3 linked regions of the Callithrix jacchus genome follow. The protein of the gene in region 1 binds, or shares a complex with, the protein of each later gene. Links are inferred from orthologs where the notes say so. Each region holds a gene or a part of one and is shown in the gene's direction. Other genes may lie near its edges.

Evidence for each region.
Region 2: TMEM17 (region 1) and TMEM107 share a complex: the UniProt entries of both Homo sapiens proteins name them as parts of the tectonic-like complex. The link is inferred for Callithrix jacchus from reciprocal best matches to the Homo sapiens genes TMEM17 and TMEM107.
Region 3: TMEM17 (region 1) and TMEM67 share a complex: the UniProt entries of both Homo sapiens proteins name them as parts of the tectonic-like complex. The link is inferred for Callithrix jacchus from reciprocal best matches to the Homo sapiens genes TMEM17 and TMEM67.

Annotation. Positions count from the first base shown.
Region 1 is NC_133515.1:51,608,556-51,619,115, forward strand, and holds TMEM17 (transmembrane protein 17), read left to right. Parts: upstream 1-24; 5' UTR 25-53; coding exon 54-153; intron 154-3,716; coding exon 3,717-3,820; intron 3,821-3,963; coding exon 3,964-4,077; intron 4,078-5,011; coding exon 5,012-5,290; 3' UTR 5,291-6,279; downstream 6,280-10,560. UniProt on the Homo sapiens protein: Transmembrane component of the tectonic-like complex, a complex localized at the transition zone of primary cilia and acting as a barrier that prevents diffusion of transmembrane proteins between the cilia and plasma membranes.
Region 2 is NC_133506.1:74,650,252-74,660,811, reverse strand, and holds TMEM107 (transmembrane protein 107), read left to right. Parts: upstream 1-5,274; 5' UTR 5,275-5,399; coding exon 5,400-5,486; intron 5,487-5,662; coding exon 5,663-5,730; intron 5,731-5,830; coding exon 5,831-5,931; intron 5,932-7,352; coding exon 7,353-7,449; intron 7,450-7,670; coding exon 7,671-7,740; 3' UTR 7,741-7,915; downstream 7,916-10,560. UniProt on the Homo sapiens protein: Plays a role in cilia formation and embryonic patterning. Requires for normal Sonic hedgehog (Shh) signaling in the neural tube and acts in combination with GLI2 and GLI3 to pattern ventral and intermediate neuronal cell types.
Region 3 is NC_133517.1:33,384,489-33,394,948, reverse strand, and holds part of TMEM67 (meckelin), read left to right. Parts: intron 1-1,339; coding exon 1,340-1,396; intron 1,397-2,797; coding exon 2,798-2,896; intron 2,897-4,947; coding exon 4,948-5,046; intron 5,047-5,416; coding exon 5,417-5,503; intron 5,504-6,974; coding exon 6,975-7,074; intron 7,075-7,168; coding exon 7,169-7,308; intron 7,309-9,591; coding exon 9,592-9,732; intron 9,733-10,460. UniProt on the Homo sapiens protein: Required for ciliary structure and function. Part of the tectonic-like complex which is required for tissue-specific ciliogenesis and may regulate ciliary membrane composition.

The DNA of each region.
Region 1 (10,560 bases):
GCGCCCACAGACCAGCCTCTGTCTAAGGGGGCGAGGGATAGTGAGGCCCAGACATGGACCTGCCGGATCCGGTACGCCAGCGGCTGGGAACCTTCAGCCGGGCCGTGTTCAGTGATTCCAATCGGACTGGGCCGGAGTACAATGAGGGTCCCGGTGAGTGGACTAGGCCCGGCGCACCGGGTGTGGCCCGCCAAGGGCTTAGCGTGGGTTTTGGAGCCTCCAGAATTTGCCCAGACCTAAAATGGCGACGTCGCCTTCAGCTAGCTCTCCGCAGTCTTAGTTAGCGCCTTGGAGGAGGGGCCGGGTCGAGCGGGGAGCTGAGGCGCGGGCCGCCTATGGGCGGATAACCCAGGGCCGGGCCTGGTCTGCGCGTGCCGCCGCAGCCCAGCCGGCTCTTTATGAGAGAGGCAGCTGAGGTGGGGCCAACCTCTGTGCTAGGCGAGGCCCATCATTGCTCCAGAGAAACCCCAAAAATAAAAAGATAAAAGCCGTTTGCTGCACAGGCTGGTCCCGCGCGCGCCATGAGGGCAAAAGCCCAAGTTGCTTTTTCTCGGCTTCGCCCGCCCGGGCTTTTCTGGGCAGGATGGCGGGGAGCAGCCCAAGCAATCCCACCACCCCCGTCCCAGGGAACACATTTGCCTTTTCTCTTTTCCTAGCAGAAAAGTATGTTCCTCCTCAAGGCCATTTGCTGGTAGAAGAAATTTTGAAACAACAACAACAACAACAAAATTTTTAATGAGTCCTTTCAAACCACCATTCACTCTCAACTGGCATGTGCCATACTGGCTGTCTGTTCAACAAAACTCACCTCTTCCCTGCCTTCTCCACCTCCCCTATATGTAACTCTTACCATAAGGTAACAAAATACCACGATGCTTCTGCATCCTTCAACCTGATGACAAGTGATAACGCAATTTCCTCCAAAACAGTTTCCTTCTCCTACATCATGATGGTAGACAACACACTGTCAACCAAACCCATGTGGTTTTCATCATTCAGCTCTGCTGGGAAATGGAAATCTTTTCCTCTGCTTGGTTTTAGCAAATTTTAAAAAGGGACAGAGAAAAGTAAAGTCAGTTCCTATAGCTGCATTTTGTCACCTTGATCACTTGCCTATTCCCCAAATGTAGGCCTTTGTCATTTAGGATATACAGAGAAAAACGGGAAAAAATTAAGTTTTGATGTTTCTGGTTCCAAGGATGAGGCTTAATGAGCACTAACATCTGATAATAGAAGGTAAAAACGGACGTTTTCTGAAAAGGGCCCGATAGTAAATATTTTAGACTTTGTAGGCCATATGGTCTCCACAGCAGCCATTGATAATAGTTATTGAATAGGCATGGCTGTGTTCCAATAAAACTTTATGGACCCTGAAATTTGTATTTTATATGGATTTCTCGTGTGAAAAAAATATTTCTTTTATTAACCATTTAAACATATGAAAAAACATTTTTATCTCATCAACTATACAAAAACAGGCATCTGGCCAGTAGTTTATCATCCCTGATTTATATTGTATGTTTTAATTTAAATTCCATTTACAGAACTCAACTTGAACTTTTGCAAACTTTAGTAAATTTATCTTATGCTTTTAAGTTTCATTTACATATTAACTTGATTTTCATTTCCATGATTATAACTTTGATCTGCTGAAATAGGGACATAGCATAACCTTTAAGATATTAACACACAATACTTCTAACATAAAAACCATTCTTCGCAAAATTTGACTACAGTTTCTTCTCAAAGGTACTGAAATGTTCAGCTTGCCCAATTTATTATTCTTTCCCACATTTTCTTCTTTGTGGATCTGATTCTTTGTGCTGTAATAACAAGTTCCTATCATTACCATGTCCACAGCATTGTGCTGTTGCTATGAAAAAGATCCTAGGCTGGTGAGTTGTCTTCAAATTTAAGGTTTTTTTTTTTTGGGTTTTTTTTTGAGATGGAGTCATGCTCTGTCGCCCAGGCTGGGGTGCGGTGGCCAGATATCGGCTCATTGTAACCTCCGCCTCCCGCGCTCAAGCAATTCTCCCACCTCAGCCTCTCGGGTAGCTGGGACTACAGGTGTGTGCCACCATGCACAGCTAATTTTTGTATTTTTACAAAATTACCCCCATAGAGACAGGGTTTCCCCATGTTGGTCAGCATGGTCTCATCTCTTGACTTCACGATCTTCCCGCCTCAGCCTCCCAAAGTGCTGGGATTATAGGCATGAGCCACCATGCCTGGCCAAATTTAACAGATTTTTAAGAGTTCACTCCTTTACCAGTGGTAATTTAATAAACGGATGTAAGCAAAAGTAGGTCATAATAATCAGGCATATTCTTGGAGCTAAAGGAAACTTTTGCTTTGAGAGACCATGATTATTTCTTATATTTTAAATGACCGATAAAAACACTCAGCTATGGAGACAAGGGAAAAATACTGTTTTAAAGAAATTTATTTTAGAGCCTTTAAAATGTTACGTGTAGAGCAACTGATTTCAGTATATGTATCTGCTCTTAAGAATTTAGTTAAACTTAGGATGTATTGTATAGGGCTCAATTTTAAAAATCAAATTCTTAATTTAAGACCCTTCTCTTACATAAAAGCAAAAAGTGTTATGGAATAAACCTTAGGTAAATGGAACTCATGTATCACAAATGGTTATACTAGTAATGTCCTTATGACAGTATGCTTTCATTAATTCATTCTTTCTGCTTATGTTGCTTATGTGTATTTGATATTCACTGTGTGTAAAGCAAGATGCTAGATTCTGAGGTTCCCAGATTAGGGTAATACATGGTCTGTGCTTGCAGTGAGCCCGTAGATAAGTAGAAGAGAAGAAGGAAAGGGGACTAATATTTGTCATGTGCCTACTAAGTGTGCCAGGCACAGTGCTAGGATGAAATAATGTATATTGGCTCTAATTCTCACAAGCAGCCTGTGAGGAAGCTTTAATTTCACTCTTTTACAGATGAATAAATAGAAGCTCAAAGAGGTTAAGTAATTTATATCAAATCTGACAGCCAGGGTCACAGAAGTTTGGAGAGCTCAAGTTTGCTTGAACTCTGAAGCCTATGATCTGTTCAGTATACCAGACTGTTTTTTGGGGAGGGGAGTGTGGTTCTTTGCTAGCACTTCTTATACAGTTCAGAGTGATAAATACCTCCTAAAGGGAAAAAGAGATTTCTGCTGGGGTGGAGGAACTGATGAAGGAAGTATTGATGACAAGACGACATTGAATTGGACTTTAAAGAATGGCTAAGATTACGGTATGCTGAAAAGAGGGATGTCTAATTATAATCTTGGTAATCTGTTTTTGTATAAGATTAGTTTATATGTGAGAGATTCTTTTTTTTATTTTATGCATTAATTTTATATGCTCTTTACATAGAATTCTACAAAGGAGGCAATGATACTTATCTGTTGAATAGGATTTATATTGCTATTCCACATTAAATCTATACCAGTAGTATATGCAAAAAAGTCAGAAGACTGTAATGGTAAAATGGTAAAATAATTGAGAAACATGAAATATACCCCCAAATAGCCAATATTTGATCTAAATGGTATTAGGATGAATACTCCTTTTACTGTCAATGATTACAAATAGGCTTAAAATTTGGAGTTTTACTGAGCCAATATTATAGTTATTAACTCTAGGGAACGGGATGTATATATAGGGCATAGACTGGGATTCATAATTTGTTCCTTTTCTATCCCTTCTATAGAAAATGAAATGGTCTCCAGTTTGGCATTGCAGATGTCACTTTATTTTAATACCTACTATTTCCCACTGTGGTGGGTGAGCAGCATTATGATGCTTCACGTGAAGGTAAATCTAAGCTTTAATACTTTTGCCGCCCTGACGTTGTTAGAGTGTCAATAAAATTAAAATTCTTAATAATTTTTTTCTATCTCAGATTAATGTTACTGTATGTGAAATTTTACAAACATGTTTTAGCTTTTTTTTTTTAGTACTCAATCTTGCCTGATTACTACAAATTCATTGTGATCACTGTTATCATCCTAATAACCTTAATTGAAGCCATCCGGTTGTATCTGGGCTACATGGGTAACCTACAGGAGAAGGTAAGCTCTTTTTTCCTCTCAGTGATAGATACAAATGAAATCAGTTTTCATAACAAGTAAAAGGCAGTGAGGTGTGGCAGAAAGAGCACAGGCCTGAATTTAAGGGCTGACTCCAGCTTTACCACTTCTGTTACTGTGGTCTGTTTGCTTAATCTCTTGAGCCATGGTTTCCTCATATATAAAATGGGGAAAATAATATTTACTTCACAGGTTGGTTATGATTAAGTGAAATGATTTATATGAAGTATATGAATGTAGTAAATACTTAAAATTGATATTTTCCCTCATCAGTCTCGAAAATACATGGTCACTTAAACATGTGTATTTGGATCCTGAATAAGAAAATGGGGGAAAATTATAAATTCATTTCCTATTCCAGGTCCATGTTTTCTGCATCATCATGCTGCCTAAGTATTTATGGTTACCAGAGTATAGGGGTAATGCCTAAAGATTCCTGTGGTTTTCTAGGCCCTTCATAATAAGGCCCCACCAGCCTGTCTTACTATAGGTTTTGCTGTTTTCTCACCCAGCCATCCATTCCAGGCTGATGTATTGATCCCCAGTCATGCTAGTTTAACATGTTTGCTTACTTACCTTTTTGCCTCTTCTTCCTTCTCCATAACTTTAAAAGCCTACATTCCTGAGGTCTTTCACCTACCCTAATCTCTATCTTATTTCTTGTAGCATTTAGTCTGTACTTCTAAATATTGCACTTAATTGTTTACTAAAGTGCAGTATTCTAGGATTGTTTTATATAAATTAGTTTTCTCATCTAGATTGTAAGTTCTCTGAGGAAAAGGACCATGTCATCCTTCTTTGGAATTACACACAGAGCCCATCATGTAGGTTCACAGTAGTGATATGTATTTGTTTATCTATATAAACAAACCTGTATTTTACTGATTTTTATTACTCTTGATGTGTGTCATTACAGGTTCCTGAGTTGGCTGGCTTTTGGCTTTTGAGCCTTCTATTGCAGTTGCCTTTAATTCTTTTCTTGCTCTTTAATGAAGGCCTAACAAATCTGCCCTTGGAAAAAGCAATACATATCATCTTCACTCTCTTCCTTGCTTTCCAAGTTGTTGTAGCATTTCTTACCTTGAGGAACATGGTCAATCAGTTGGCAGTTCGTTTTCACCTCCAAGACTTTGACCGGCTCTCTGCAAACAGAGGAGACATGAGAAGGATGAGGTCATGTATAGAAGAGATCTGACCCAGTGTTGTTGAGTGAAAATCTGACAGATCATTCTAGAAGACTGTAAGAGCTAGAAAATATCAGTGATCTAACAATGAGAAAAGGGACAAAGCAAGTGTTTTGAATTATATACGCTCTCACTCTGAAATTCTAAGGTTGAGGACAATGATGAAACTTTGTACAGTATATGAAACAGTGTATTAATCCTAAAACCTAGATGTTGTCCACCTGATGCCAAATTTCTTAATTTTTTGGATGTTGTTGTCTTTTTCAGGAGTATAGAAATCCACGTGTTGGTGGTTGTCATTTGTCAGCCTTCCTGTAATATTTCTGGTTAAAATCTGTAACTAGAGATGTGTACATTTCTTTAAAACTTGTTGGTTGGCCGGGTGCCATGGCTCACACCTGTAATCTCAACACTTTGAGAGGCCAAGACAGGCAGATCACAAGGTCAGGAGTTCAAGACCACGCTGGCTAACACGGTAAAACCTTATCTCTACTAAAAATATAAAACTTAGCCGGCAGCGGTGGCACATGCCTGTAGTCCCAGCTACTAGGGAGGCTGAGGCAGAAGAACCTTTTCAACCTGGCAGGCAGAGGTTGCAGTGAGCCAAGACTGTGCAACAGCACTCTTGCCTGGGCAACAGAGTGAGACTCCATCCAAAAAAAGCAAAAACAAAAACAAGCTTGTTGGTTATCCATGTCTTGGCTGCACATCTGACCATGTTTCTTGACATGGAAATGCCAGCCAGTGTTCCTATGTATTTGACTATATTTATAAACCAAGAGACCAAATTTTTATGTCTGCTAGGGTTAAATTCTAACCCTAATATTCGCTGTCATACTGAGATTAAGAAGAAAACAGGTAGATTGCCATGGTATTTAGGAAATATTTTTGTCATAAAATTATAACTTTCATAAGACCATATTCAGTATTTGTAATGGTGGTATACAAAACACTTTTATAATAAATTATTAAATATTTAAGTTAAAGTATCAGCAACAAATCATCCTTGTCTTGTGCAATTCTTTTGGGGCTATAGATCTGTTTTTTGTTTTTTTTTGTTTTTGTTTTTTTTAATTACTGAGTTGCAAGGGAAGGAAGAAAAGCAAATCCTAGAGAGCTTTCTATGTAGTGGACACTGTAGTGGGCACTTTAACTTAGTGCTTGTGATTTCATCTACTAGGTTACTGTTCACCAAAGAACCACTTCATACCCATTAAATTCACATGAGGCTTGATTTGGAAACCAGAGCACCTCTTAATACATATGAGAGCTAAGATGGCCAAAGGGACTATACTCATGATCCAAAATGAGCTTGCTCCCTTGCTAATTGGAGAAATCTATTTTAGGAGATTGGGTTAAGAACAAAGTTGCTTGGGTGTGTCTGAACATTAGATTTAAGTGACTGTTGGATTGTCTTAAAGGATATGATATTTCATTACAGGTTTTCTTTTTTTCTATAGGGAAATGGGCCTTTATAAGTAATGTATTTTACTGAGGGACAGTTGTAGCTACATTAAAAACTGCTCTTTTCAATTTTCTTTTTTAATAATTCGTGCTTATCTTAGGATTTCCAGGTTTTGCTTTATTCATTCTTGTTTTGCTGAACTTCAAAAAATGTCTTCACTTCCCACTCATTCTTGATTTTTCCTGACAGAACTATGCTAATTTTATTATTTCTGCTCTTTGGGATTATATATAAAGTTCAGCCAAATATTTCTCCCTCCATGCAGTGGCTGATTAATCTTTTTCATACCAAAGTAGTCACTGGTTATACTCGTAATAATTTGGAATTTAAAATAGAATTCTGTTTGAATAGTTTTCTAAAACATGTATGTTTGCATTTGTTTCCCAGATGGGACTAGATAGATGATTCTATAAGAGAATATAAAATAAAATTAAATCTACAAAGCAGATAAATTAGGGCATGATGGAGACTTTTCTATTTCAAGATTGTTTCCAGAGTTTTATTTTAAATAGCAGAACTTCTGGCACATTTAAACTTTAAGATTAAGAGATTAATAACAAAATGTCAATCATAATCATAAAAAATTTTTTTAATTAAAAAATTTGAGAAAATTGATTTATCAAAATTTTCAAGTAATTTTGCTGTAATAAACATATTACTTAAAATGCAGATATAGTAACAGTGGCGGGGGAAGATAGAAAATTGAGACCATGACCAAGTCATTTGTTTGTTTTTCATGTGAACAATAAAACCATGACTTTTTGTATTAGGCTGAATGAATATTTTCCATTGGAATATACCTAGTTCCCTATATAAGTATATGAAAATCAGGGTAGAGTTGATATTTACATGTCAGCACATTTGGGGGTTAGGCAGTCTTTATTTTAATTTTATTTGAATCTGTTTATCCATCCTTAATTTATATTATATCCTCTCTAAGGATTTACAACACTGTTCTGAAATTTTTTAATTAAAATGTTGGACTTCACAAATGTTTTGTCCTTCACATATTTTTTCTTCCAGAGGCTTTTTCTCATCAGAGACAAGATAGGCATAAATTTCTGTAAATCAAAATTATTTTCTTTTTTTTATTTATTTTCTTTTTGAAACAGAGTTTTGCCCAGGCTGGCGTGCAGTGGTGCAATCTCAGCTCACTACAACCTCTGCCTCCCAGGTTCAAGTGATTCTCCTGCCTCAGGCTCCCGAGTAGCTAGGATTACAGGCACCTGCCACCACGCCTGGCTAATTTTTTTTTTATTTTTAATAGAGACAGGGTTTCACTCTGTTGGCCAGGCTGATTTTGAATTCCTGACCTCAAGTGATCTGCCCGCCTCAGCCTCCCAAAGTGCTGGGATTACATATAGGCATGAGCCACCACACCAGACCTAAATCAAAATTATTTTAAAACATCAAAACTTATTAATTTAACATATACTTGAATGACTAGTATATGTAAAGAATAGTCAAAGGTATATAGACAAGACATGCTCCTGGTTCTCAGGGATATGATGTGGGAGATAAAACATTTGTACAATCTTAAGACAAAGTAAAAAAGCGTAACTGTATCAGGAAAGTGCATTGAATGAGTTTCTACCTACTAAGTACCTGACAAGTAACAGGCCCTTGGCTTCCAGTACATCTTCCATCTGTGTTCCTAGCACTTAGTATCCCAGGATTAAGCACATTAGCCCTACATCAACAACATTTAGCATTCACCGTGCTCCACATTGTCTGAGGGGAGTAGATGGCATTCAGGTTAAATGAATACACACTCAATCCCACTTGCCTGTGCAAACAAGAAGTTCACTCTCTGGTAGAAAAGGCAGATAAGCTATAAGTGATAGCACAGTGTGATGGGGCCCTGTAGGATAACAGAGAAGAGACATCGAAATGACGAAATCTGGAAAGCCTTCCCAAAGAAAGTGACACTTGAGATTTGAAGAATGAGTGGGTATTAAATTCAGTGTTAAGAAACAAAAATTAGTGACTGTGAGTTCTGTTTCAACGACTACAACTAGTTTGTTGAGCCTAGTGGAAAGTGTGCATGAGAAGAAATGGTGCAGAATAAGGCACAGAAGCTTGGAAGGTGCTAGCAAGCCTGTCTACAGCTTTGAATATATTCTGACTCCCTGAATAGTTTAAACAGTGGAGTATCACAAACAGAATTAGATTTCAGAAAGACCTCTTTGAAGACAATGTGAAAAATGGATTGAAAGGGTTGGACAAGAGGCAGAGATACCAAGAGGAATGTGATTATGTAACTTAGGAGTGAACAAACTGGCCTGGATAAAGTCAGTGGCAATAAAATAAACTTGAATAGAACCTACTATAATGTTTTAAAGATAATTTCGTATTTTAAAACAGATATAAGGAGAGTGTTTTTCTAATTTGTCTTTTCAGAGATTACCTATAATGGTTAACAAAATGATATATTCACTGCCTTTCTTATCTCTCCCACACTCACAGGTTTTTTTTTTATTATTATTATTGTTTTTCAGAGACAGGGTCTTGCTCTGTCACCCAGGCTGGAGTGCAGTGGCACAATCATAGCTCACTGCAGCCTCCAACTCCTGGGCCCAAGTGATCTCACCTCAGCCATCCAAGTAACTAGGACTACAGGCACATGCCACCATGCCCGGCTAATTAAAAAAAAATTTGTAGAGCTGAGGTTTCACTATGTTGCCTAGGCTGGTCTTGAACTCCTGGCTTCAAGCGATCCTCCTGCCTCAGCCTCCGAAAGTGCTGGGATTACAGGGGTGAACTACCACACCCAGCTATTAGATTAGTATTAGACTTAAGTAGAGCTCTATCTGAAATAATCTAAGTTTTATTTGACATAACCTACTTAATGATTCTTTACTTGAATTACATTTACAGTTTTTAAAAACTCAAAAGGAACAGAATCATGAGATTCTGAGAGTAAAGAAAAATCGTCTGTAATTCTACCACCTTAAATAACAACTGTTAGCAAATGTCATCTTTCTTTGACATTTTTACTTTGCAAATAGTTTTTTAAAAGAAACAATTGTGATCATAGGCACTTATAATTGTGCACCCTGCTTTTCTGAAAACCTTAGAAGTATTTTCCTATGTTTCTACATAGTTACAAAATCATCATCTTAAATGATTGTGTGTTATTTCATCAAGTAGATGGGCCATAATTTATTTAACTTCTCTCTTATCATTAGATATTTCTGTTTTTCCTTTTTCTTTATATATAACATTGTAATGAACATCTCATGCATAAAGCTTTTTCCATGTCTTAGATGATTCCTTTTAATTAATAAGCCAGATTTTTGGAAGTGAAATTGCTGGATCATAGAGTATGAACGTTTTTAAGGCCAAAATACCAAATTATATTTACTTTCTACCATTCACCACATACAATTCTAAAAATAGTGCAGTGAAAATTCTGACAAGGACAGATTTGTGGACTTTAGTTACCCATTTGTCTTTGTATTTCTGAGTAGCTACTACAGGAACACTGAGTGTGAGAAAGGAAAAAAAAATCTGAAAGCTATGAAAGGAGAACTGCAAAGAATTTAAAAAAAAAAAGATTTTTGAATTAAGGGAAAACTGATAAGGGACGGGAAAAGGATTAGGCAAGCTGGTCGCAGTCAGCAACAGACAGTGAGATGTGACACAATAAAAACTGGGTCATTGAGTTGGGACAGCCCTAGGACACAAAAAGACTGAAATGAAGTAAAGCTCTGGATTACTTTGTTCTTGAATATTGAATTTTTTCAGAAGCATGGAGCATGAAATATTATAGTGATAAGCCAAGATTGGAAACATAGCCAAGAAAAAGAGGTCTTT
Region 2 (10,560 bases), on another chromosome or scaffold:
ACCGAGTGGTCAAGTGAGTAAATCACACAGGATGGAAGCTATGAGGATCTGCAACTCTCCTCGCTGAGTTCAGTGTTGGCAAAAGCGTGGAGAAACACAGAGGCACCACTGGGATTCGAACCCAGGATCTCCTGTTTACTAGACAGGCGCTTTAACCAACTAAGCCACGGCGCCGCCGGAAGGACAGGTAGCATCTTACTTCCTTGGCCAGGTCAGCTTGCTTGCAGCGAATGAATACAAAGGTGTGACGTAACACTCGGATGCATTGGGAAAAGCGGAAAGCACAGATGCAATTGGGAAAGACACGGAAACTGAATGGAGTCACTGGGAGTAACAAGAGAAATCCTAGTTTTTATGCTACAAAACTGAATTTAAACCACAGCATTTTCCATGCCGACGAGGATGGGATTCGAACCCACGCGTGCAGAGCACAATGGATTAGCAGTCCATCGCCTTAACCACTCGGCCACCTCGTCTGCAGGCAGATTCTCGGGTCTCCCATCTCTGGGGCCTGAACTCTTACTCCTGCCTGTGGGGCCCGCCTCTTGTGAAGTCTGCACATTTTAGGGGAGCCTGTTCAGCTCTGGAAAGAAGACTCGCAAATCGGAGACAGATCTTCTCCCCTGCGTGATTGCCCGACCCTCCTCCCTCTACTGAGCGGTCTGGAACTCTTCCTGTTCGCAGGAGCCGCGGCATCCGTCCAGAATTAAGGTACCTGGATCCAACGCAAAAATCCCCGCGAGACAGTTGTGCCGCCCAGACGAGGCGGCCTCGAAACGTCGTGCTAGAAGCCCCTCCGCTTCAGGCCCCAAAGACATTGCTCCTTCTCTGACGTGAACGCCGAAGGTCAACCGTAGCTTAAAATAAACGGAGTTGATAAGAGAAGGAAAAGGATTCCCTACTGACCCCGACGTGATTTGAACACGCAACCTTCTGATCTGGAGTCAGACGCGCTACCGTTGCGCCACGAGGTCGGCCGGCCGTAAGCGTATTCAGTTCTCCCTATGACCACTGTACGGCCAGGAGGCCAGGGTCTGGTGATCGAGGCATGGATGGGTACCTAGGAAATTTTTGCCCCCCTCAACACCTGCGGGTTGGTATCTGCTCTCGCCGAGCGGCCCTGTAAGACGAGTCGGGCGGGTGGCACCCCAGGGCAGTGACTATGGGATCCCGGCTCAGCGGTCTGTCCCGCCCGGCCCCCAGCGTCCTGCCAACGCCCAGAAAGAGGGTCCCGAGCTGATAACCAGGGGAACCCAAAGCTCACAGCCCAGCGGTAACGGACCTGCCTGGAGACGGGTGGAAGGGTAGGAACCAGACGGAACGTGATGGAGCAGTGCCAGAGCCTAGGGCACCTGAAGGGATGAGAAATTCGCTCCCCCAGCAGCAGGTCTCCTCACCGGTTGCACTTTCACAATCGCCTGCGGAGCCTTCGAATGTACGCACGCACAACCCCCGGGTTCGGCGACTCCGATTTAAACGGTCCAAAGAAGAGCTCTGACATCGGTATGTAAAATTTTGAAAAATATCGGTATTTCAACTGTTTGAGAGCACATAAATCTTGTATATATTTTGATGAGTTTTGATAAATACATAAACCTGAGCAACTCACAGTTCACATTTCCATCACTCAACGTTCTTGCATGTCCCTTCTCTAAGGATCCCCACTCCTCCTTTCCCAGAAGCAATCTCTGTTCTAATTTTTTCTGTTTTTGTGAGTTGGAGTCTTGCTCTGTCACCCAGGCTGCAGTGCAGTGGCGGGATCTCATCTCACTGCAAACTCCGCCTCCGGGGTTCAAGCTATTCTTCTGCCTCAGTCTTCTAAATAGCTGGGACTACAAGCCCGCACCACCACACCCGGCTAATTTTTGTATTTTTAGTGGACACGGGGGTGGTGGTGGTGGTGTTTGGCATGTTGGTTTGGCTGGTCTCGAACTTCTGACCTCGTGATCTGCCCGCCTCTGCCTCACAAATTGCTGGTATTACAGACAGACATGAGGCACTGCACCTGGCCTCTATTCTAATTTTGACCACCATAAACATCGTTTTTTGTTTTTTGTTTTATTGAGACGGAGTTTCGCTCTTGTTACCCAGGCTGGAGTGCAATGGTGCAATCTCGGCTCACCGCAACCTCCGCCTCCTGGGTTCAGGAAATTCTGCCTCAGCCTCCTGAGTAGCTGGGATTACAGGCACCACGATGCCCAGCTAATTTTTTGTACTTTTAGTAGAGACGGGGTTTCACCATGTTGACCAGGATGGTCTTGATCTCTTGACCTTGTGATCCACCCGCCTCGGCCTCCCAACATCAGTATTTTTTAAAGCTCCGCGGTTGAGACAAAATTGGGAACTGCTTAAGGGAAACACCTGGAGCTGGAAGACGCATTTGTTTCTTGAAAAATGAAAGGAGTTCAACAGGCCGAGATGGCACAAGAGGTCATGGCTCTATCTCATTCCTTCCCATCCAAGCCAAATTTGTACACAGTGGCTTTCTGGAAAGTTATCAGGGACCACAGAGGGGTCAAAGGCCACAGACATTCTCAGGCCTGGCCTTAACCAACTTCAGGCAACATCTTCTCCAAGAGCCTTCATTTCCCATGGTTGCCTTGACACTAGTCTGCTGGCCCTTCCCAAGTGGCTCCTCTCTCCTGTCTCTTTTTCTTTCTTTTCTTTTCTTTTCTTTTTCCTTCCTTCCTTCCTTCCTTCCTTCCTTCCTTCCTTCCTTCCTTCCTTCCTTCCTTCCTTCCTTCCTTCCTTCTTCCCTCCCTCCCTTCCTTTCTTTTTTTTCTTTTGTGACAGAGTCTCACTCTTGCCTAGGCTGGAGCGCAGTGGTCCATTCTTGGATGACCGCAACCTCTGCCTCCTGGATTCAAGCGATTCTCTTGCCTCAACCTCCCAAGTAGCTGGGATTACAGATGTGCACCACCACGCTCGGGTACATTTTTTTTTTTTTAGTAGAGTCGGGATTTCACCATGTTGGACAGGCTAGTCTGAAACTCCTGACCTCAGGTGATCCACCTGCCTCAGCCTCTCAAAGTGTTGGGATTACAGGCATGAGCCACCACGCCCAGCTCCAGTCTCTTTTTCGGTTCTCCCAGTAAATCCTGGGTTTCCTCTGGTAAGATTTTCTCTCCTCATGCTACACATGTTCTATGGACTCAGCTATTTCCTGCGTGATGAGGGCTCCTGAATCTGGCTCCCACCTCTTGACTCAGATTTATAGTGCCTGCTGATACCTTCATGTCTCTGCCATACTTATTCCAGTCTTTCTGCACTCCCAGAGAGTGGCCAGACCCAGACTGGGAGATGCATCCTTGACTCTTCCCTTCCCCTACTGTCTTACTTCCAGTCACCACATCCTGTCAATTCTATTTTCTCAATAATAATCCCCTTGTCCACCGACCCTCCTTCCCCATCTCACTGACAACCCCTCAGCCTCTCTTGCTGGATTGTTGTAGAAGACTCCTCTGTAATCTCCCTCCGTTTGGAACAGAGAATCATCTTTTTTTTTTTTTTTTGAGACGGAGTTTTGCTTTGTCACCCAGATTGGGGTGCAGTGGCCTGATCTCGGCTCACTGCAACCTCTGCCTCCCGGGCTCAAGCGATTCTCCTGCCTCGGCCTCACGAGTAGCTGGGACTACAGATGCGCCACCACCACATCGGGCCATTTTTTCCCCCCTTGTATCTTTAGTAGAGACGAGGGTTCACCATGTTGCCCAAGCTAGTCTCGAATTCCAGACCTTGTGCTCCTCCCGACTTGGCCTTCCAAAGTGCTGGGATTACAGGTGTGAGCCACTGCACCCGGCCTGTTCTTTTTTTTTTTTTTTTTTTGAGACAGAGTCTCGCTCTGTCGCCCAGGCTGGAGTGCAGTGGCGCGATCTCGCCTCACTGCAACCTCCACCTCCAGGATTCAAGAAATTCTCCTGCCTCAGCCTCCCGAGTAGCTGGAATTACAGGTGCTCGCCATCATGCCCAGCTAATTTTTATATTTTTAGTAGAGACCGGTTTTCACCATGTTGATCAGGCTGGTCTAGAACTCCTGACCTCAGGTGATCTGCCCGCCTTGGCCTCCTAAAGTGCTGGGATTACGGCCATGAGCTACTGCGCCAAATTTTCTAAAATAAAGTTTAAGAACAAATGCCCCATTCTTTTTATAGAATTATAATTGTAGCGTTTCCCTTTTCATAGCATATAGTATCTTGCGGATTTGTTTGCATGTCTATTATTGATCTCCCTGACTAGAATCCACCTACTAGGTAATCAGTAAATACAAACAATATTTGAAGAAATGAGAAATGCCTCTTGGGCATATATTTAGACTGGCTAAAGGCACTGAGACGGGGAGTGAGGAAGAGGAAGCGGTTGTTCTCCGGGGAAATGAGCCGGGAGGACCCTTGAGAATGGGACTTGACAGCATTGCGAGAAGAAAGAGCTTTCCGATCAGCGGGGACCTGCGCTGAAACCCAAAGGTCATGAGGTTGCCGATGATAAGAGCTTCTTGGACTGTAGCTGGGTAATGTCGGAGGCCCAGCACCTCCAAGAGATAAAGAAATCTGATTTGAGTTTCCGTTCCAGTCAGCTCCAAGCCTCCCAGGGATGCAGGGACTGTCCATTCCCTCCATCCACTCCCACCCTTTCCGGTCCCCTTGCTCTGCCATTTTTTGCACTCTGCAAATCCCTCACCAAACTGAGCAAAGTTAGACTGAGAGAAATCAGTCTTCCTCAAGGAAAGTTCAGGCCTGGGGTCCTCAGACATCCAGGGGCTCCGTGACAATCTGTGACTGCTGAGCAGTCTAGGGACACCGCCTCTCCAAGTTCGGGACCCTTGTTTCTGAGGCCAGCTTGGTGGGAAGCTAAAGGCATACGGAGGAGGGGAAGGGGAGCGTGTCTGAGTCTTCGGCATGGCGGGGACCCGGACCTCAGCCCGGCATGGCGGTGGCGCGGCCTCAGGAGATCCACAATTGTCGGTGTAGAAGGGGCTGGGGGCCGCTCCCGGCAACTGCGGAAGCCGAGGTGCCCCCAGGCTAGCCCAGGTCGGTTTCCGTTCGTCGGTCCTGGGCGGGTAGATCGGGCGCTGCGGGGCCGTGCCACCTCGCACCCTCTCAGGAACAAAGGGCTTGGCTACGCGCGGATACCCAAACGTTGGGTTAGAATGGCATTCGGGGAAGCCCTGACCTGCGCAAGCCGGAAGAGGCCAGCAGCAGCTTGAGAATATACTGCTCTCGCGATGTTTTTCGAGAACGCGGCGCCGCGTTCGCGTACGGAGTTACCAAGGTAACTGGGCGGTGCCTGAGCGGGCGGGAAGGAGGCGTTCGTCTAGATTTTGTCCGCTTGCAGGGAGACTTCAGGAGTCGCTCTCTTTGAAATTCCGGCCTCTGAGACCGCCGCCCCTGTTTCCAAGGGCCATGGGCCGGGTCTCAGGGCTCGTACCTTCTCGCTTCCTGACGCTCCTGGCGCATCTGGTGGTCGTCATCACCTTATTCTGGTCCCGGGTAAGACCCACGGCTGACATCCGTCCGCCCCTATTCCCACCTCGGAGTGGTCCCAGCCCCATCTTGCCCCTCTCCCAGTGTCTTACCCACTTAGGTCTTCTCGTTCCCCGCCGCCCCCAGGCCTGCCTCGCCGCCCGTCCCTTTTTCACTTCTCTTCCTCTCTGCTCTGCTCCCAGGACAGCAACATCCAGGCCTGCCTGCCTCTCAGGTTCACCCCCGAGGAGTATGAAAAGCAGGACATTCAGTGAGCTCTCTCGGAATGGGCTGGTCAGAACGGAGAGGTGGTGGGAGTGGAGGGTTCTTAGAAGTCCAAGGGCCTGAGGCTGTCCACTTCCTTTCTGCAGGCTGGTGGCCGCGCTCTCTGTCACTCTGGGCCTCTTTGCAGTGGAGCTGGCCGGTTTCCTTCTAGGAGTCTCCATGTTCAACAGCACCCAGAGCCTCATCTGTATCCTTTCCTCCTGCTCACCTTTCCCACACGACCATTTCCATCAGGACTCCCTTCAGCCACCTGACACCATAGTGTCTGCTGTAACCAATCTCTCCAGTTCGGATATCTTCAAACATGTGCTAAATCCTGCTGTTTACTAGGCACTTAAAATCCCAAAATGAGAGTAAAACAGTTTTCGGCCAGGCACGTTGACTCATGTCTGTATTCCCAGCAGTGTGGGAGGCCCAGGCAGGAGGATTGCTTGAGGCATCATAGTGAGACCCTATGTCTACAAAAATAATAGTAATAATGAGAACTTCACCTTTTTTGTTTATCATGAGGAGGAGGCAGACACATATCTGTAATTCAGTGATAAGCAGGGTGCTATAGGAGTGTGTAAAGAGGGGTGGGCGCGGTGGCTCACGCCTTTATTTCAAGCAACTTTGGGAGGCCAGGACAGGTGGATCATTTGAAGTCATGAGTTTGAGACCAGCCTGACCAACATGGTGAAACACCATTCTCTACTAAAAATACAAAAATTAGCCGGGCGTGGTGACGGCACACCTGTAACCCCAGCTACTCAGGAGGCTGAGGCAGGAAAATTGCTTGAACCTGGGAGGCAGAAGTTGCAGTGAGCCGAGGTTGAGCCACTGCACTCTAGCCTGGGCAACAGAGTGAGACTCCGTCAAAAAACAAACAAGCGGGACACGGTGGCTCAAGCCTGTAATCCCAGCACTTTGGGAGGCCGAGGCAGGTGGATCACGAGGTCAAGAGATTGAGACCATCCTGGCCAACATGGTGAAACCCCGTCTCTACTAAAAATTCAAAAATTAGCTGGGCGTGGTGGCGTGTGCCTGTAGTCCCAGCTACTCAGGAGGCTGAGGCAGGAGAATTGCTTGAACCCGGGAGGCGGAGGTTGCAGTGAGCCGAGATTGTGCCACTGCACTCCAGCCTGGTGCCTGGTGACAAAGTGAGACTCTGTCTCAAACAAACAAACAAACAAACAAACAAACAAAAGGTAGAAAGCACAATGGGAACTCAGAAATGGCAAAGGAAATGAAGCACGTGGGTCAGAGAACTGTGAACCAGGAGTGCTAGAACCCTGGAGGCTGATTCCAGCAGAGCATATCAATTCGCTGTCAGCACTCCTGTGTGGCATGGTAGGAGAGCCTACTCTTACCTCTCATCTGAAGGGTCCAAGCTGGCCTCTAGATGTGGGGTAGGCTAGCCTGAGGTCCCATCTATGCAGTTACTTCTGGTCTCTCCTCATATGACCATCCTACAATTCAGAAGTCAGGGCTGCTGACTCTAGCCCTTGCAATATGGTGAGGGAGCAAGCGATGAACCTGAGTGCAGATGCCAACCCCACCACTGATGTTTTCTGATCCATCACTATCTGTCGATCCAAAGACTTTCCTTAACTGTGGTGCCTTCCCAAGCCATTGGGGCTCACTGTAGTGCATCCGTGGCCCTGTCCTTCTTCATATTTGAGCGTTGGGAGTGCACTACGTATTGGTACATTTTTTTCTTCTGCAGGTGTGGTAACACCCAATATTTGGGGATGAGGGAGGAAGGTTTACCCTAAATCTGAAAGTTTTCCCCCACCCGGTCCCTTCTTCCATGCATGAGATCCTGTAGTCTTTTTCATCCCCCATCCCCATGCCACCTGCCCTATACTTTCAGGGGTGGGGTCTCTAGTTTGGAGATTTGCATATTTATATTGAAAGGATTTCTGAATCTACCACCTGCTTCGGTAGTGCCCTTCCAGCTGTCACTGAAATGGCTTTATTCATCGCCATCTTTGGGCTGAAAAAGAAACCTTTCTGATCACCTTCCTGATGGTCGAAGGCTACATGGGAGGCCGCTTCGTATTCCTGGAAGAAGAAAGGCATAGGCTTCAGTCTTCCCCTTGGAAACTGCTTCTGCTAGAGGATATGTGTTGGATGTATGGGATTATCAGCATTGTATTTAGTGTTTTGTAATAAAATATGTTTTGTAGTAAGATCAAGAGTTATATAGTTTTCAGGGGACAATTGGGATGGCTTAACTATTGAAGAAAAAAACAACTACGCTGTTTTCTAGTCCTGCAGACCGTAAGATACTTGATATCGCTTCTATTTTGGTTATTACGGTAGACGTCTGGGGGAAGGAAGTGGGCGGGGATATGTAAATAAAAGTGCATACAGTTAGAACGTCCAGCACGTAAATGATTGGAGCATTCTGGGAAGAAATAATTTATTCCTTTTCTCAGCTGAATGAAAAAAATTATTTTAAAAGAGATGAAAGCAAATATAGCAATACAATTGGAAGGATGTTAAATAGCAAGGTGGCTCGTACCGACGCGTTGTATACTCACCCTAGCTTTTAACGGAATCTCTTTCACTGAGTCCGGAATATCCGCCGTTTATTAAGATATCGTCAGGTGGGATAATCCTTACCTGTTCCTCTTCGGAGGACAGATAAAACATGATGATTGGAGGTGCATGAAACGTGATTAACGTCTCTGCGTAATCGGGACTTACAACACCCTGGTTACTCCTATCTGAATTCTCCTGACGATCTTTTTTTTTTTTCGTTGTTTCGTGTTAAATATTAGAACTAAAATAACTCTTGGAGTGTTGTGGCTAGCGGTTTTTTGATTGTTGTGTGGTGTCGCTCAGGTTTGTCTGTTCTTGAAAATTGTGATGTGGCTCTCTGTTATTAAGAAATTTCTTTCTGGAATTAAGGAGTTTCGGTAATACAAAACGGACTTCTATTTTTCTTTATCCTTTGACGCTTACCTCGTCTTAGGAAACACTGCACATTGCTAACCGTAATGTTGTGCATACATGGGTGATTTCCCTTAGGATGTGCAAAAGCAATACTTAAGAGAAACTGTTTTGCTTGCTTGCTTTCCTCTCCTCCACCCCTGCTTTTGAGGCAGAGTCTCGCTCTGCCGTGAAGGCTGGAGTGCACCGCTCCCTGAAACCTCAGCCTCCTGAATTCAATGGATTCTCCCAGGTGGCTTGGATTACAGGCAGGTGCCACGATGCCTCGCTATTTTCTTTCTTTTTTTTTTTTAAGTAGAGACAGAGTTTCACCACGTTGGCCAGGCTGGCTGGTCATGAACTCCCGACCTCAGGTGATCTGCCCCTCTCCGCCTCCCAAAGTACAGGGATTACAGGCATGAGCCACTGCTTCTGGCCTTTTTATTTGTAAATTTTTTGCTTTCCATACTTTATACCAGTACAATTTATCATACAGTTATGTATATACATAGATATATTTGTTTTTGGAGAGTCGTTTGTTAAACATCTACCGGTACACCCCCAAGGAACTGCTTGTCACCAATGACTTCTCATTCCTAAATCCAGACTCACTTCTCAGACTTGAGCTTGGCCTCTCTTCAGCATATAGTATGTTGACCACCCTCCCTCTTTTTTTTTTAAACATTCCCACTCTGTTACCCAGGATAGAGTGCAGTGGTAGGATTATGGTTCACTGCAGCCTTGAACTCCCAGGCTCAGATGATCCTCCTGCCTTAGCCTCCCGAGTAGCTGGGATGGCAGGTGAGCACCACCATGCCCAGTTAAGTTCTAAAATTTTCTGTAGAGACAGGTTCTCACTGTTGCCCAGGCTGATCCCAAACTCCTGGGCTCAAGCCATCCTCCCTGCTAGGCCTCCCAAAGTGCTAGGATTACAGGCATGAGGCCACCGCACCTGGCCCACTCCCCTCTTTTGTACTTTTTGCTTCCTTAGTTTTGGAACAATGGTTTCCCTGGTTTGCCTACCACTGTTCTGGTTGTTCCTTCTCACATTCATTCAATAAATACTTAGTACCTGCAGTATGTCAGTTACTGGGGACATAATACTGGGTTGTCTCCTCTGCTTGCCCCATAAGTGCTGGTGATCACTACTCCTCGGGTGACTTCATTTACTTCTTGTTTTCAGACATCAACTAGATGCTGCTGGTTTCCAGATTCCAGCTTGCTGATGTGAGCCCTAACCCAGGGCAAGGACTACAGCAACAAGCTCTGCAGCCAGACAGCCTGCCGGGTCCAAGTGCGGTTTTTTTCTGTTCTTGGTTGTGTGATGGGCAGGAGGTCACTTTCCCCTTTCCCTCTCTGCCTCAGTTCCCTCATCCACACTCACACTTTTTTTTTTTTTTTTTTTTTTTTTTTGAGAGAGTCTTGCTCTGTCGCCCAGGCTGGAGTGCAGTGGCGTGATCTGCAAACTGCACTTCCCAGGTTCAAGCGATTCTCCTGCCTCATCCTCCCAAGTAGCTGGGATTACAGGCACCTGCCACTGTGCCTTGCTAATTTTTGTATTTTTAGTAGAGATGGAGTTTCACCATCTTGGCCAGGCTGGTCTTGTGATCCACCCGCCTCGGCCTCCCAAAGTGCTAGGATTACAGGCATGACCCACAGCGCCTGGCCACACTCACATTTTTTATGTGAGTAACAAGTTTGTCTCTGGGGTAATGCTGCATCAGCCTCAGGTGATCTTTTCCTGAAAGGGTCAGGTACTTCATCAAGGCTGTATGAACCATTTTGAACCTCTTGCTAATTTTCTGTAGTAGATTCCTGTATGTGTAGCAGAATTCTCCTGCATTTCCAGCTTCTTCCAGGTGGTGGGGAAAGGCTATTTATACCCACCAAAGGGAAAGAT
Region 3 (10,460 bases), on another chromosome or scaffold:
AATTACTTGGGAGGCTAAGGCAGGAGAATCACTTGAACCTGGGAGGTAAAGATTGCAGTGAACCAAGATCACACCACTGCATTCCAGAGTGAGACTCCATCTCAAAAAAAAAAAAAAAAAAGAAAAAAAATAGTTAAGTCATGAAAACTACATTGATGAAGTCTACCTCAAATTGTTCTAATTATAAGACATAGATTTCTTTCATCACTTCTTAATTTCTCATGGCAGCTGTTGTAAAATTTTACATCAGTTGTAAACATCCAGCTATGTCTCTGCTCTTTAACTGGTCTTGACCAGATCAAGACTATCTAATACAAATTCCTTAAGATTTCCTCTTTAATATTTCAGAATCTCTGTTTCATTGCCCTTCCCATTTCTTGTTCCTTTTTTCTGAGAAAGAAGGTCCCCTCCTGTCTTCCTAAACTAATCTTCTGTCTAACCTCATTTACAGTACCTTTTCCTATAACCTGTTTTATCCCCAATGTCTTTTTGTTCAGCCAGCCTCTCTACAAGTCCCTTTCCTTTGCTTATAAAGACTCTCAGATTGCCTTATCTTAAAAAAAAAAAAAAACTAAACCAACCAACCAACCAACCAAACATTTTACTCAGTTCTGCCAGCTGCCCAGGTTGATATTTATTTCTCCATCATTTCCCAACCATTTACTCTTTCATCATTTGCAGTCTGGCTCTTGCCATTTTACTTCTTAGAAAACCTCTTTCATGAAAGTCAGCAATGATTTCCACATATAGTGGCTTTATTTCTTTACCTTGACATTTATACAACATTTGACACAGTACTCAACCTCCTCCTCCTTGAAACTCCCTATTCTGTGACCATGGTAAGACTTAGGTATCTTCCTCTCCTACCCATCACAGTCCTCTTCTCTGACCCTTTACTAGGTTCTTCTTTCTCTTAGTCTGATTGTCTCAGTGTATGGTATCTTTAAGAATTTTGTTCATACCTTTGATGAATTTGCATAGGGTATGGTTGTTTAGCCAGTTGCTAAATTCTTGATGTACAAGTTTCATCAAATTCCTCAGTTACAGAAATCTATTGGAAATTGAAATACGATTAGTTTGACTTAAACTTTTGTGCATGAATCTAACTTATCTCCTAATGAGCTCCTTTATAATGTGTATGAAAGAGATATTTAAAGCAGCACAAAAATAATTCTCAAAAGCATATGTATTTACGTGTAAGTAAAGGTCAACTCTAGTAATATTGATAGTTAAAAACTATAGTGTTTATGATAAAACTCAGCTACAAATGTATTTTTATAATATTAAGTTTGTATTATATAATTTCAGTATAGCTAATTTGTTTTGTTTTAAATATCAGGTTTCTTTCTCAGTCACCTATGAAATGGATCATGGAGAAGCAGATATCCAGACAGATGTAAGTTTATTTTAACCTATTAAAATATATACAGTATATTTTATAATTAAATAAGATATGCAGGAAAGTTGCTAGAACAAAATTTGCCAGATATTCTTCCTCCATCCTCCCCTAATGTTAGCATCTTACATAACCTTACTTAGTACAGTGGTCATAATCTGGAAATTAATATTGATATACTCCTATTAACTAATCTACATACTTTTTAAATTTCACTATTGAATTTTTTTCTGTTTCAGGACCCAATCTAGAGTCACACATTGCTTTTAGCTGTCATATCTCCTTAGTGTTTTTCAATGTGTAACAGATTCTTACCTTTTTTTGTCCTTCATGACCCTAGCACTTTTGAAGAGCACTGGTCCATTGTTTTAGCCTTCAGTTTGGTTTGTCTGGTATTTTCCCATGATCAAATTGAGTTCGTATAGTTTTAGCAAAGATGCCACCAAAGTGATACGGTGCCTTCTCAGTGCATCATATCGGGAGGCACATGATGTCAGCATGTCTTCTTATTGATGATGTTAACTTTAATCATATGGCTAAGATGGTGTCTGCAGAGTTCTCCACTGCATTTTTCCATTTGTAATTAATAAGTATCTTGGCCGGGCATGGTGGCTTATGCCTGTAATCCCAGCACTGTGGGAAGCTGAGGCAGATGGATCACCTGAGGTCAGGAGTTCGAGACCAGCCTGGCCAACATGGTGAAACCCTGTCTCTACTGAAAATATAAAAAATTAACTGGGCATGGTGGTGGGTGCCTGTAATCCCAGCTACTTGGGAGGCTAAGGCAGGAGAATCACTTGAACCCAGGAGGTGGAGGTTGCAGTGAGCCAAGGTCATGCCATTGCATTTCAGCTTCGGCAACAAGAGCAAAACTCTGTCTCAGATAGGTAGGTAGATAGATAGATAGATAGATAGATAGATAGATAGATAGATCTCATGGGGGAGAATCTTTGAAATTATGCAAACATTCTGCTTCTTATTATTATTTTGCCCTCTAATTTTATTAAATAGCATCCATTGGTGTTTCTTGCTTGCAGAAAGTTTCACTGTGATATTTACCTCATGGTGATTTTCTGTTTCCCTAATTACTTTTTTATTTATTTAATTTGAAAATTTACTGTGAGGAGAAACTCTCCCTTTGCTCACATTACTTATTCAATTATTTATTTTTAAATCACTGTGAACTCATATTTGTTTTGTTTTAGTAATTATATTATAGTTTATTTTCTTGTTCAAATTGTCCCAGATTTGTCCTTTAGAAGTTTCTCCACCTTGACTCCTGTGTCCTTTCAACATGTCCCTCCCTCACTGTTTTTTTTGAGCACTTCTTTCTGTTCACAGTGTTTTTGAACACTGATGAGAGAAATTACATAAATTCTAAATTGTTCTTTTGTTTTTTAGATTGCTTTGGGTGTGTTGGGTGGGCTAGCTGTTTTAGCATCTCTTTTGAAGACAGCAGGATGGAAGAGGCGCATTGGGAGTCCCATGATTGATTTACAGGTAAAATCTCAGGAATTTTTTAAGAATATTTTAATCTTTTGACTATTCTGGATCCTTCTCATAAGACACGGCTAGAGAATGAATTTTTCTGAGGCATGTAATTAGGATCTAAGTATTGCTGGGTCATATGGTATATGCATACCTCATGTTCTTCCATCATACTGTCTGCCAGTCTATATTCCTGCCTGCGGTGCTCTTCTTACTTCTGCGCATGCTTGGCAACACTTGATATTTTTGCAACCTTTCCATTTTTTGCCAATCTTGTGACAAATAGTCGTATGTCATTGTTGATTTCATTATCATTTCTCTGATTACTCTTCATATACATTTTAATAGTTTGGATTTCTCCTGTGAACTGCCTGTATCCCTTACCCATTTCTCTATTATGTTTCCAGTTTTTCTTGTTTATTCAAAGGATTTTTTAATATTTTCTAAATAGTAACTGCTTTTTGGTTTCTGCTGTTGAAATATGTGACCCATCTGTTATTTTTATCCATGTGGTCCTTTGTTTAACAGAAATCCTCAGTTTTTTTGTTGTTTTGTTTTGTTTTTGTTTTTTTGAGACAGATTCTTACTCTGTTGCCCAGGCTGTACTACAGTGGCACGATCTTGGTTCACTGCAGCCTCCGCCTCCCAGGTTCAAGTGATTCTCCCGCCTCAGCCTCCTGAGTAGCTGGGATTACAGGCGCATACCACCACGCCTGGCTAATTTATGTATTTTTAGTAGATACGGGGTTTCACAACGTTGATCAGGCTGGTCTCAACCTGCTGACCTCGTGATCTGCCTGCCTCGGCCTCCCAAAGTGCTGGGATTACAGGCATGAGCCGCCATGCCTGGCCAGAAACTTAGTTTTGATATCATCATATCTGAATATATTTTCATGTTATGGTATGTGTTTTTAGGATTTTTTTCTATGTCAAGATCACAAAGATAGTCCACATTTTATTCTATTAACTTTATACTTTCACTTCATGTTTAACCTTTTATTTTTATCAAACATTTAAAAAATATTTACCATGTACTGGGTACTTTTTAAAGCTGTATGTATATAATTTATGTATATATCTTTACGTATATGATACAACTTAATCCTCACAATAGCTCTTTGAAGTTAGATATTATTATTATTAGTCACATTTTACACATGATGAAATAGAGGCAAAGGTTAAATTTTCTACTCACTTGATTTTTACTACAACTCAGTAATAGGTATTTCCATTTTGTTGATGAAGAACATGAGAAAGGCTACATGGTAACTTTAACCAAAGTATCTTTCTGATTCCAAAGCCAGTGAGCTAAGGAATTGGCAGGAGGACTTGATTTGCTACTTGTGATAGTCCAGAAAGGCTTTCCATTGAAGTGAAATTTAAGAGGGGTTATCTATTCATTCCACAGTAGTCACTGAGGCTCCACTGTGGAAGTGTCTGGCACTCTACCAGGCACTGGAGGATGTGATAGTGAGTGAAGACAGCCATAGTCTGTGCTCTCAGAGATCATGAGAGCTTGCCAGACAGAGGAAGAATATTTGGTAAAACAATGCCCATTTTCTACAAAGTATTCAAGATGAAATGGAATGGTTGATTGTTAACCACACAGCTGGAACTGGCAGATGAAAAGTTAATTTTGGCTCATATTCTGAAAGACCTTGTGGATCAGCAATTTATACGGCAGTGAGGAGTTATTCATTTTTAACAAGAGGAGTGACACAATCCAATTTACATTTTAGAAAACTAACTCTGGTGGTAGTGTGGAGAGATTAGAGTGGAGGATTCCCAACTAACAGAAAACTAGGAAGCAGTTCAACTTTCTTAGATAGTGAAAGATGAGAAGAGTTGAAAAAAGAGGCTACCAGGAATGGACAGAAAGATAAGGAACAAAAAGGTAGCAAGGAGGAGGATGCAGGTGTTCTTTATAGCTTGATTATATGTGGATATGTGAAACAAGACTTCAGAAATGGAGTGGATGATGTATAAAAGCGGTAGTGTTACTAAAGGGGTTATATATATTGAGTCTTAAACAGCTGTAATTCTTTTTTCTTTTTTAATTGCAGACAGTTATGAAATTCTTGGTGTACTATGCTGGCTATCTGGCCAATGTTTTCTTTATCATCACAGTGGGAACAGGTCTTTATTGGCTTATTTTCTTCAAAGTGAGTGAGTTTCTGAATTTACCCCAACTGCCAATGTCTGAATAATTGAAAAGCTTTCCTTTTAAGGAATTATTTTTATTTGGGAGAATTTTTGATCAATAGTATTAAGACAGGTGCCCAACTCCCCATTCCTTGAGTGTGCTGAGCTTATCGGTTATATCACTATCATCCTCTTTTATGCTTTCTTTGGTCTATCAATTGTGCTTAGTAAAAACCTTGTTCAATTGAGAGACTTGGCTGGGAGGATACTGTGAGTCCAGAATCAAGTCCAGCCCGGGCAACATACTGAGACCCTCCTCTCCAAAAACAACAATAACAAAATAACAAAAACTTTGTGTGATTGTATTTAATCAAGTAATTTTTATTATAGGCACAAAAGTCTGTCTCTGTTTTGCTCCCAATGCCAGTTCAGGAAGAACGTTTTGTCACTTATGTTGGATGTGCCTTTGCTCTGAAGGTAAGTTTTACTAAATTTAAAAGGCCTGCTAATGAACTAGTAAGTCTTTAAAGTTAAAATGCTTTCAAAATCTTTGGTGTGAAATTCACTTTGGTTTTGAAAGAAAGCCTTCATCATTTTATGTGGTAAATTTACTTTTATTTATAGTAGATACTCAGTCTGAAAATCTGCCTTAAATATTTTTTTCAAAGAAGCCGTACATCTATTTGGATTAACATGAGTTGTGACTAATTTGATAAAATGATATTTTAATATATAACTTTCTTTAAAGTCTGATGATACATTGACAATGGGACAAAATGTCTTCAGGCATGAATTTTGTCTTCACTAATCAAGGTTAAAAGGTACCACTCTGAATAAAGTGTTGAGATCTTAAAAATTGTTTTGTATGTCTCCATATTCCTTTGCTTGTTTCTTCCTATGGCCCCCACGTCCCCAACTCAGTGTTCTCTGTCAATGTAGGTGAAGTTCTTTATGTGCCTTTTGGTAGTCCTTATCCCATTGTACCGTGAATATTAAATGTCTGCTTTTTCCACTGACCGGGAGCTTATCTAAGTGATGTATCCCATACTTAGATTTTTATCCTTTATTTGATCAATAATGCAGAAACTAGAAAAAATGCCTCGGTTTAAACATACTGCTTCTGTAGATGAGGAAGATGTGTTTCAACAACACATTCTTTAAAAATCAGAAACCTTAATAGCAGAAATAGAAAGAAAAAGACAGCAAGAGCATTCAAAAACTTTAGGAAAACCTATAGTTGGAAATATATTTACTTATAAAGAAGTCAGCTGGTCTATACAACAAAGTGTGCTTCTAGAACCTTTGGGTAAGGGTCAATTATACAAGCTCCTATGTGAGGAAGAGGTAAAAAAGTCTCCTCTTTTCATATTTTCTGTTTTAAAGAAAGAAATAAAAAGGGAGCCGGGCATGGTGGCGTGCGCCTGTAGTCCCAGCTATTCGGGAGGCTGAGGCTGGAGGATCTCTTGAGTCCAGGAGTTCTGGGCTATAGTGCACTATGCCGATTGGTGTCCACACTAAGTTCGGCATCAATATGGTGACCTCCTGGGAGCGGGGGACCACCAGGTTGCCTAAGGAGGGGTGAACCGGCCCAGGTCAGAAACGGAGCAGGTCAAAACTCCTGTGCTGATCAGTAGTGGGATCGTGCCTTTGAATAGCCACTACACTCCAGCCTGGGCAACATAGTGAGACTTCGTCTCTATTTAAAAAAAAAAAAAAGAAAAAGGTAAGGTAAATTAATATATATATGAAAATTTTATAAATTTGGTGATTCCAGGTTATCTGATGAGCTTCTAATGATTCCCTAGTGGTACTATAACTTTATGTGAATTCACTCACAAAAGTTTATGTTCTTGTAATAACAGTATGTTTCTTAAAGAATCAATATTGGTTTCATAAGCAGGCTTAATGCTGATACTTTCTTAGGTGTTTTATTATATGTCATTCTCAGGCACTACAATTTTTGCATACGCTCATATCCCAGATTACAATAGATATATTCTTTATTGATTGGGAGCGACCTAAAGGAAAGGTTCTTAAAGCTGTTGAAGGTAACTGAAATAAACATTTGTACCAAAATTCTTTTGCTACCATTGCAGAGCAAAGGAGGTAAAACTCTTTTACTCATTTTATTTCACTGACCAGGTGAGGGTGGTGTACGAAGTGCCACTGTTCCTGTAAGCATATGGAGAACATATTTTGTAGCAAATGAATGGAATGAAATTCAGACTGTGAGAAAAATTAATTCACTCTTTCAAGTATTTATTGTCCTCTTCTTTTTGGAGGTATGAACTGTTTGATGTGATTGTATGGAACTTACATGTACCTTAGAAATATTAAACTAATATAATTCCAACTAAGTTTTCATGACAGTGGAAGATTTTTCTAAAGGTTGAAAGACTGTGGTGAGGCCATTAAAAAGACGTGACTTCAAAAAAATTGTGGTAAAATAAATTACATAATTTACCGTCATAAGTATTTTTAAGGGTAGAGTTTAATAGTGTTAAGTACATTCACATTGTCATGCAAAATCATCACCACCATTCATCTCTAGAACTCGTGGCAAAACTGAAACTCTGTACCTCTTAAACAACTTTGTATCAATTCCCTAACTTCTGGCAAACACTATACTATAATACTCCCTGTGTGTTTGACTGCTCTAGGTGAAAGGAGTAGCTTTAAAACCAATGGTTTGTATCAGAATCTGTTGGGGAGCTTTCATAAAATACCTATGCTTAGGCTTACCCTTAGAGACTATGTTCGATATAGTAGCTTTGAGGTAACCCCAGGTATCTGTATTTTGAAAAAGCTCCCTACCCCATGATCCATATTCTCCCCTGCATTAGAATCACTATTATAGGCCAGGCGCTGTGGCTCACACCTATAATCTCAGCACTTTGGGAGGCCAAGACGGGCGGATCACAAGGTCAAGAGATCGAGACCATCCTGACTAACATGGTGAAACCCCATCTCTACTAAAAATACAAAAAAAAAAAAAAAAAAAAAAAAATTAGCTGGGCACGGTGGCACATGCCTGTAATCCCAGCTACTTTGGAGGCTGAGGCAGGAGAATCGCTTGAACCTGGGAGGCGGAGGTTGCAGTGAGCCGGGGTTGCGCCATTGCACTCCAGCCTGGACCACAGAGTGAGACATGGTCTCAAAAAAAAAAAAAAAAGAATCACGATTGTAAATTTGATATTTTTCAACAAATTTTTATTGAACACTTACTATAGACTATGTTCCTTGCTAAGAGCTGGGGCTACGACTGAACACGACACAACATATTTGTGATATATTTGCAGTTATTTCATGGATTTGGTTGGAATTATTAAAGGAAGTATTCACTACTAAGTATGAGACTGAACCTGGAAACCGTTTATATAGGAATAGGTTTTCTCAGGAATTATCTGCTTAATTAAGGTTGAATATACATTATTAACTTTCAGCTCTGTCTGTCAGCCTTCCCTTTTTTTTCTTTCTTCATTCTCTTTCCCCTTTCCTTTTTTAAAACTAGTAGAAGAATGTTTGTGTCCCTAGGGCTTTTAAATGATAAAAGCAATACTTGCAAAATTTACTTGAAGTCGCATTTTGGTTTTTTCTTTTGTTTTTTTTTTTAAGTGGATAGATAAAAATTATATATGTTCATAAACACAGTGTTTTGATACATGTATTCATTGTGGAATGGCCAAATTAAGCTAGTTTATCTGTTACCTCACATACTTCTTTTTTCTTGTACTAAAGTTTGTGTGTGTGTGTGTGTGTGTGTGTGTGTAAGAGTGTTTCCTCAACTTTAAAAGGTGTTACATGAAAATGTTTTATAGTCAAGTAAGTTTGGAAAATATTGGATTCAATATAATAATGTAGCTACTTTTTACTGTAAAACTTCTCAGAGCCTTTATTCTACAAGGTGGGAGGCATGGTGGTGAGTGTAATAGATGGACCAACTGTATTTAAACATGGATTCCTTTTTCAGAGAACTTACGTCCTTTAGAAGACATTTTGTAGTATACTGTTTTAAAGTATAAAAGTGTTTAGTACAGTGCCTAGCACATGTTAAATACTCATGAAATACTAGTTGTTGATTTCATACATTGTAGTTTACTGATGAAAGTTTTATCCTTTTAACTAAATTTTTAGTTTTGTCAATGTGTATGACAGTAAGATTATATTTGACCCTTAGTTGTATTGAGAAGAATACCAAATGAACTAAATATTGTGTAATAAATACTTTGTAGTTTTTTTTAAATTTATTTTTATTTATTTATTTATTTAAAGATGGGGTTTCACCATGATGGCCCGGCTGGTCTTGAACTCCTGACCTCAGGTGATCCACCCACCTTGGCCTCCCAAAGTGCTAGGATTATAGGCGTGAGCCACCACATCTGGCCAATACTTTGTAGTTAAAATACTGAATAATAATTATTTTTATCTAGATCTTCTACTATTTATCAAACTTGGATATTTTAGTTTTTCAAGGTGAGCAGTAGGGAGTGGTTTTCCATTTTCAGTCTAGAGTGTATAAATTTGTACATGTGTGTATAAATTATTATTTTTTCTTTTTACTCGAGGTTGTGGGATTCAAGAACTTAGCATTAATGGACTCATCTTCTAGTCTTTCTAGAAGCCCACCTAGCTACATAGCTCCTTACAGCCGCATTTTGAGATATGCAGTGTCTGCTGCTCTTTGGCTAGCCATTGGAATTATACAGGTAATAGAGATTATACTTCTAAGTAACATTGGTTCTTTATTAACTCTGCCTACTTACTGGTTATTATCAAATATTGACCACATCCTGATTTCTGTAGCAGAAAGAAGGTGACAAGAACAATAGCTAATAGTCAGTTCTTTTTTTTCCCCCTCCAGAACAGAGTCTCACCCAGGCTGGAGTGCAATGGCATGATCTTGGCTCACTGCAGCCTCTGCTTCCCATGTTCAGGCAATTCTTCTGCCTCAGCCTCCTAAGTAGTTGAGACTACAGGTGTCCACCACCATGCCCAGATAATTTTTTTGTATTTTTAGTAGAGATGAAGTTTCACCATGTTGGCCAGGCTATTCTTGAACTCCTGACCTCAGGTGATCCACCCTCCTTGCCCTCTCAAAAGTGCTGGGATTACAGGTATGAGCCACTGCACTCAGCCAGTAGTCAGTTCTTATATTGTATTAGGCACTGTATTAAGTAGTCACAGTTGATCCATCATTTCTTGGCCTTTTAGCTAAGAGGTCCTTGAACAACATGGGCTTGAACTGTTTGACTGAACTCATTGAGAATAGAAAATACAGTGTTCACAGAATGCAAATTCTGCATCTGTAGAGGGTCAACTTTCTGTATACATGGGTTCTAGCAGGACTGACTGTGGGACTTGAGTATGGGTGTCTTTTGGTGTACTTGGGGGATCTGGAATCAATCCCGACATACTAAGGGACAATTGTAATTTC